2 linked regions of the Saccharomyces cerevisiae S288C genome follow. Each later gene encodes a partner of the first gene's protein in a complex. Each region holds a gene or a part of one and is shown on either strand. Other genes may lie near its edges. A codon is read from its position in the direction of its gene.

Region 1 (3,925 bases):
CCATGCATGTACGAAATTTTGGTTAGATACAAAGGAGTTTTAAACCTTATGGCCCATGAACACCCAGGTTCGTTCTCACATTGCCAGTAAGTTGAGGAGCTTTGTTTGGAGTCGGTCAGTAATTCTATCGGCTGTACCCCACTGCCCTGTCTCCAGGTTGGTGAAGTTAAATGGTTCAATAGTTTAGTACCTTGAACATAAGTAGCAAAATCTAAATCGTCCTCCCATTGGTGTTGATTGGAATTGTAAATTTGGTGAATTAATCTTTTCATTAATATGCTCGAATACTGCTGTGGCACGTTAGAATAATCCTGTTGAACCTGCTGCTGCTGCTGCTGCTGCTGTGTCTCTAACCTATTTGTGATCTCTTCCCAAATCTCCTGTTTGTTAGATTGCAACCTTCTGTTCATTTCTTGGATGAAATAATCCTTATCGATATATTGCAACTCATTCGAAAGAATTTCCTTTACATAGCGATTCAAATCATACTCCCAACGACTTTCAGCGCTTCCAGCAGTACCAATGCCTGGAGACTCAATAACGTCTGAAATCAAAGCACTCAAATAATTGTGCAATTCAGGGATTATTAAAAGCGACGAAGAATTATTAATTACAACGGGTATTTCTTGAGGGAGGTGTGTATCCAACTGTTTTACCAGTTGATCTTGCCATTGAGTAACATTCTCGACCGTAAATTTGTGATTTCGCCTCTGTAACTCACTCATGGAAGTTGAAATTGTCTCAACCTGTTTTGTCAGCGAGTTAATGTCATTTTCAAAATTAACCAAATTTGAGGGTAAAAGTCTTTTAATATTCTTTTCAAATTGAGAGACAATGATTTTTACTGTTTTATCCAATTCTGAACTGTGCTTTTCGTCCCGCTTACTCAACTCACTATATAAATGATTCACCTGTTTTTGTAGGTTGCTGAATGATTTGCCTGGAGAGGATGTAGCGCCGGATGAATGGCTTTCTAAATCATTATTTTTCACGGTTGTCATCAAAAAAGATCCAAAAAAATAAAAAACGAAGAAAAGGCCTCCATAGAAAATGTACGTCCGCCACTTCAACTTCTTAGCTTCACCTGAACTTTCCAAGTTCTCTTCAAAGTCAGAATTACTTTCCAAATCGTAGCTGTCGGAATCGCTGTCTTCTATAAAACTCTTGTCTGCCTCATCTGTATAGTCCTCGTCGCTATATCCGTCGGTCTCTTGTCCATTATCCTCAATGTACGGATCATCATCGTCGTCATCATTATGTTGGTCTAACGGAAAATCAAGATTTTTTTTGAACATTTCGTACGCGGAATCATTCTCTTTATCCATATCATAGTTGTCAGTTTCACCGCCATCGGTGTATATCCCTTTTTTGATGGCTCGTAGGCTAATCTCCTGTTCCCTATTCATTTTGTCCTTGAGGACATCTGCATACGCGGACTTTACAGCCTTATTGTAAGGCATTTGTTCATTAGCCGCTCCTGCCTCTTCCCGCCTATGCTCATTTGAGTTATTCATTTCCAGCACTTCCAGGATAAAAGTTACTACCAACTGAAAACAAGAGAAACCGCCGTGAAACTATGGAGCACTACAGTTAAAACACCACTAACTCCACTCTGTTGACTTTTATCTGTAACTCCTCATGACAACCTTGTTGATAATTATCTCAAGATGACGATATTTACATTGTCATTATATTCCATTTTCGCGTCTCATATGTTACCCGTATCAAAGAGTATAACCCTATCAATAAGTGATGTGTATCATTTATAAACCTCATATTTTAAGAATAAACCTATATAATATAGGAATATACCCTGAAAATAGTTAGAGGTCTACAATGCCCCTATTTTACCTCCAGAATTATAATCTCCTTAAGACTTCAACTAGAAGTGGTATTTACTAGCACACTGTGAAACAGTAGCGTCAAGTCGGTAGTAAACATCAATCGCGTCCCAACTGCAAGAGCTACTAGAAGTAAACACAGTCTTACCCAAACTAAGGATGAGTGAACCCGAAGTGCCCTTCAAGGTGGTGGCTCAGTTCCCATACAAGTCCGATTACGAGGACGATTTAAATTTTGAAAAAGATCAAGAGATTATTGTTACGTCTGTTGAAGACGCCGAATGGTACTTTGGTGAATACCAGGATTCAAATGGCGACGTTATTGAGGGTATCTTCCCGAAAAGTTTTGTTGCTGTTCAGGGATCTGAAGTTGGAAAGGAAGCCGAATCATCTCCGAATACCGGTTCCACTGAGCAACGTACAATCCAGCCGGAAGTAGAACAAAAGGACCTACCAGAGCCCATTTCCCCTGAAACGAAGAAAGAAACTCTGTCCGGGCCAGTGCCAGTTCCAGCCGCTACAGTGCCAGTTCCAGCCGCTACAGTGCCAGTTCCAGCCGCTACAGCAGTATCAGCACAGGTCCAGCATGATAGTAGTAGTGGTAATGGCGAAAGAAAAGTTCCCATGGATTCTCCAAAATTGAAGGCTCGCTTATCTATGTTTAATCAAGATATAACGGAGCAAGTTCCTTTACCAAAATCAACTCACTTGGATTTAGAAAACATACCTGTGAAAAAAACAATTGTGGCAGATGCTCCTAAATACTATGTCCCCCCTGGAATTCCAACAAATGATACGTCCAATCTTGAAAGGAAAAAGTCCCTAAAGGAAAACGAAAAAAAGATTGTTCCCGAACCAATTAATCGTGCACAGGTGGAAAGTGGAAGAATAGAAACTGAGAATGACCAATTAAAGAAGGATTTGCCCCAGATGAGCCTTAAAGAAAGAATTGCTCTTTTACAGGAGCAACAAAGATTACAGGCTGCAAGAGAAGAAGAACTCTTGAGAAAAAAGGCTAAGCTCGAACAAGAACATGAACGTAGTGCGGTTAACAAGAATGAGCCCTATACGGAAACTGAAGAAGCAGAAGAAAATGAAAAAACTGAACCGAAACCTGAATTTACGCCTGAAACTGAGCACAACGAGGAACCGCAAATGGAATTATTGGCACATAAAGAGATTACTAAAACCTCACGCGAAGCAGATGAAGGCACGAATGACATAGAGAAAGAACAATTTTTAGATGAGTACACAAAGGAAAATCAGAAAGTTGAGGAGTCACAAGCAGACGAGGCAAGAGGAGAAAATGTTGCTGAGGAAAGCGAAATAGGTTACGGCCATGAAGACAGAGAGGGAGATAATGATGAGGAAAAAGAAGAGGAAGATAGTGAAGAGAATCGTAGGGCCGCATTGAGAGAAAGAATGGCTAAACTATCTGGCGCTAGTAGATTCGGTGCTCCTGTTGGTTTTAACCCCTTCGGTATGGCTTCTGGAGTTGGAAATAAACCATCAGAAGAGCCGAAAAAGAAACAGCATAAGGAGAAGGAGGAGGAGGAACCTGAACAGCTCCAAGAACTACCTCGTGCCATACCTGTTATGCCATTTGTTGACCCAAGTTCTAACCCATTTTTTAGGAAATCAAATCTAAGTGAGAAGAATCAACCCACTGAAACAAAGACGCTAGATCCTCATGCAACCACAGAGCATGAACAGAAGCAAGAACATGGTACACACGCCTATCACAATTTAGCTGCTGTTGATAATGCACATCCCGAATACTCTGACCATGATTCTGATGAAGATACTGACGACCACGAGTTTGAGGATGCAAACGATGGGTTGAGAAAGCATTCGATGGTGGAGCAAGCTTTTCAGATAGGTAATAATGAGTCAGAGAATGTTAATTCCGGAGAAAAAATTTACCCTCAAGAACCACCAATCTCCCACCGTACTGCAGAAGTATCACATGATATTGAAAATTCATCACAAAACACAACTGGAAATGTTTTGCCTGTCTCTTCCCCACAAACAAGAGTTGCTCGCAACGGGTCGATAAATTCTTTGACTAAATCCATTTCAGGGGA
Region 2 (3,925 bases), on another chromosome or scaffold:
GCCGTTTGCCAGCCCGTCATCAGTAGGACCCTTTTGTGCGGCTGCCAAATTTTCTAGAGATACCGCCGCGGCCGCCTCTTGTCTGGAAGAATTTGCATTGCCAAGGAAATTGATTCAGTTCATTAAGTACAGTTGTGAAGCACTTTAGTTACTTAACATGAATGACAGTTTTATTAGGTGTAAAAAAAAATCCTTTTTTTCAGAGAGCTATTTGTAAATATTATATGAATATTAAAAAACATCCTTTTTGAGTAAGAATTCCTATGAAACAAAATGGAACAATTTCACTTATATTGTAAGCGGATTTTACAACAGATATAAAATATTGTGCGCCAACATTAAAGTATTAAAGAACCCGGAATTTAACAATTGCAGAAGTATGATCGTGTAGTAGATTTTTTATGTTAAAATCCTATCTCTAAATGCTATATTATTATAACTTGTGGCGCCTGTTTCCCTCTTGAAGCTGTTTAAATCTTTTGAATGGCTCGCCGCTTGCCCAAAAAGGCAAGGTTCCGTTAGTCTCCATTGCTTGTGCTTTGATAAGCTTCTGTTTCATTTCACTGTGTAACAATTCTTTCATACCTAGTACACTTTTCGGATAAAGCCCTTCTAAATTCTGCTTTATGTCCTGAAGAACTTTTTCATTGAATGTTTCAGTATTTGTCAATTGATAATTTTTTGTAATAATAGTTCCTATCAATTCTTTAAATAGAACTGGTGTGCTGAAAATCATATGTTCGTTTGCAGAATTTATACCCAGTTTTTGAGTTAAGGTAACAGAAGTTCCCACTTCTGCGACAAAACCGAGATTGCTGAAGGGAAAAAGAAGAAATACTGAATCGTTTTGCGAGTAAACAATGTCACAAAGAGCAACTAGCGATGCGCTAAGTCCGATGGCCGGTCCATTCAAACAGCACACCAGAACCTTTTTATGGATTGCAAATGCGTTCGCCACAAATATGTTAGGAGAGCTTATAGCAGATACCAGCTTTGAGACTTTCTCCACTTCGCTTGTAACGTCTCCATCGTTTAGCTTGTTAACTGCTGAAAACTTACCTCCCGAGGAGAAATACTTGCCTGAGCTTTGTAGAACAGTAAACAAAACAGAATCAATATCGTTTGCCTTATGCAGTAATAGTGCAATGTATACAAAATCCTCGAAAGTTAAAGAGTTCAAATGTTTTGGATCAATTAATTTGATTATGAAAAAGGGACCATTAATATGGTAGCACACACGACTGCTCATAGTTAGAAGATAACTCACTAGACTTAACACCAGAAAATCCTACTCTGTAATAAAATAATCCCGGGGTAATGGATTGGATTTTTCTATCAGGATCGTTTACGTATATATAATACACTGTCGGAGTTTAGCGCGCTTACAGCCGCTACTTGTGGAGTCCTTTTTTTTTTTTTTTTTTTGGGGTTTCAGACATCCAGTAAAGAATAGAAACAAGCAACAAACTTCAGAACTGAAACAATGCTTTTTTAAGTTATCGCCTAAATATATTCAAAAAATATAGATATGCTAGATTTTCAATTATACCAAAGTTCATATTTTCAAAATGAATGTTAACAAAAAGACAAGTTGATGGCCCTTTTTCATAAAGTATGCGTTTAGTTTCAAGTAACGCCGGCTGACGTGGACGATTTATCAAAGAAGTGGTTTTGGAATACTCTTCTTTTGCAATTAGAAAAAAGGCAAAACTAAATGCAATGCAAGCAGTTGCCCATGGTACTTGAAATTGTGTCTCTGGTTTAAAAGATCTATGATATAAGTCTTAACTGATCTTATAGTTGTTTTTTTTTGAATTTTCCAAATAGTTTATATGATCATTGAATACGTGCGAGACGTCCGAAAAGGGGCCAGTCAATACCTATGAAAAAAAATCATGAATATGTAATAATAAATATTGAATGTAGAATATACATAGTAGAAAAGGAAGTGCTGTAGCGATTGCCATCTCCGCTACAAATTACAGTTCGTTACTTTAAGTGTTGATAGGCGTGATTTAATATGGGACTCCTAAACTCTTCAGATAAGGAAATTATCAAAAGGGCTCTACCAAAAGCGTCGAATAAGATTATTGATGTTACGGTGGCTCGACTATACATTGCATACCCTGATAAAAATGAATGGCAGTACACTGGACTTTCAGGAGCTCTTGCTCTAGTAGACGATCTTGTGGGGAATACTTTTTTTTTGAAATTAGTTGACATCAATGGCCATAGAGGAGTTATCTGGGACCAAGAATTGTATGTGAATTTTGAATACTATCAAGACCGTACTTTTTTTCATACATTTGAGATGGAAGAATGCTTTGCAGGTTTATTGTTTGTAGATATTAATGAAGCATCGCACTTTTTAAAGAGAGTTCAAAAGCGTGAAAGATATGCTAACAGGAAAACTTTGTTGAACAAAAATGCTGTAGCATTAACCAAGAAAGTAAGAGAAGAACAAAAATCTCAAGTGGTGCACGGCCCAAGAGGGGAGTCATTGATTGACAATCAAAGGAAAAGATATAATTATGAAGATGTGGACACAATTCCAACTACAAAGCATAAGGCTCCTCCCCCTCCTCCGCCAACGGCCGAAACATTTGATTCAGACCAAACAAGTTCATTTTCCGATATCAATTCGACAACAGCATCCGCACCGACTACCCCAGCCCCTGCTCTTCCTCCTGCATCTCCTGAAGTAAGAAAAGAAGAAACGCATCCAAAGCATAGTTTACCGCCTTTACCAAATCAGTTTGCGCCATTACCAGACCCTCCACAACATAACTCTCCACCTCAAAATAACGCGCCTTCGCAACCCCAAAGCAATCCATTTCCATTCCCAATTCCTGAAATTCCCTCGACACAGTCTGCAACAAACCCATTTCCATTTCCGGTACCTCAGCAGCAGTTTAATCAAGCTCCTTCAATGGGCATACCACAGCAGAATAGGCCCCTTCCACAGTTGCCTAACAGAAATAATCGGCCTGTGCCACCTCCTCCGCCAATGCGTACCACTACTGAAGGTTCAGGTGTTCGCCTACCTGCTCCTCCACCTCCGCCAAGGCGTGGGCCAGCACCACCGCCTCCACCACATAGGCACGTAACCAGTAATACCCTGAATTCTGCCGGTGGAAATAGCCTCCTTCCACAGGCCACTGGAAGAAGAGGGCCAGCACCACCACCTCCTCCAAGAGCATCTCGCCCCACACCAAACGTTACGATGCAACAAAATCCACAACAGTACAATAATTCTAACCGCCCCTTTGGATATCAGACAAATAGCAACATGTCATCTCCACCCCCTCCTCCAGTGACAACTTTCAATACCCTGACACCACAAATGACTGCAGCAACTGGACAACCTGCAGTTCCCCTTCCTCAGAATACTCAAGCACCTTCGCAAGCCACAAATGTGCCAGTGGCACCACCACCTCCTCCGGCATCTTTAGGCCAGTCGCAGATACCTCAGTCAGCACCCTCAGCACCTATTCCGCCAACGTTACCATCGACGACGAGTGCTGCACCACCTCCGCCACCAGCATTCCTAACTCAACAACCTCAATCTGGAGGAGCTCCAGCTCCACCCCCACCTCCTCAAATGCCAGCTACATCAACATCCGGAGGCGGTTCATTCGCTGAAACTACTGGAGATGCAGGTCGTGATGCACTTTTAGCTTCAATTAGAGGGGCAGGTGGCATAGGCGCTTTGAGAAAAGTTGACAAATCGCAGCTAGATAAGCCCTCAGTTTTACTGCAGGAAGCACGTGGAGAATCTGCTTCACCACCAGCAGCGGCTGGAAATGGAGGCACACCTGGTGGACCTCCGGCTTCTTTAGCAGATGCGTTGGCAGCAGCTTTAAACAAAAGAAAAACTAAAGTGGGAGCTCATGACGATATGGACAATGGTGATGATTGGTAATGG

What was found.
Region 2: the proteins of BBC1 (region 1) and LAS17 are in contact, whole or in part, in a crystal structure (PDB 1ZUK), measured with the Saccharomyces cerevisiae proteins. Residues at the interface, in NP_012514.2 of Saccharomyces cerevisiae: Phe14 (codon at 2,040), Tyr16 (codon at 2,046), Tyr20 (codon at 2,058), Asp23 (codon at 2,067), Asp39 (codon at 2,115), Glu41 (codon at 2,121), Trp42 (codon at 2,124), Ile58 (codon at 2,172), Pro60 (codon at 2,178), Ser62 (codon at 2,184), Phe63 (codon at 2,187); in NP_014824.1 of Saccharomyces cerevisiae: Arg350 (codon at 3,068), Gly351 (codon at 3,071), Pro352 (codon at 3,074), Ala353 (codon at 3,077), Pro354 (codon at 3,080), Pro355 (codon at 3,083), Pro356 (codon at 3,086), Pro357 (codon at 3,089).

What each region holds. Positions count from the first base shown.
Region 1 is NC_001142.9:400,486-404,410, reverse strand, and holds the start of BBC1 (Bbc1p), read left to right. Parts: upstream 1-2,000; coding exon 2,001-3,925. Other genes in the region: MPS3 (Mps3p), read right to left, coding at 1-1,514. UniProt on the Saccharomyces cerevisiae protein: Involved in the regulation of actin cytoskeleton.
Region 2 is NC_001147.6:673,919-677,843, forward strand, and holds LAS17 (actin-binding protein LAS17), read left to right. Parts: upstream 1-2,020; coding exon 2,021-3,922; downstream 3,923-3,925. Other genes in the region: putative dodecenoyl-CoA isomerase DCI1, read right to left, coding at 434-1,249.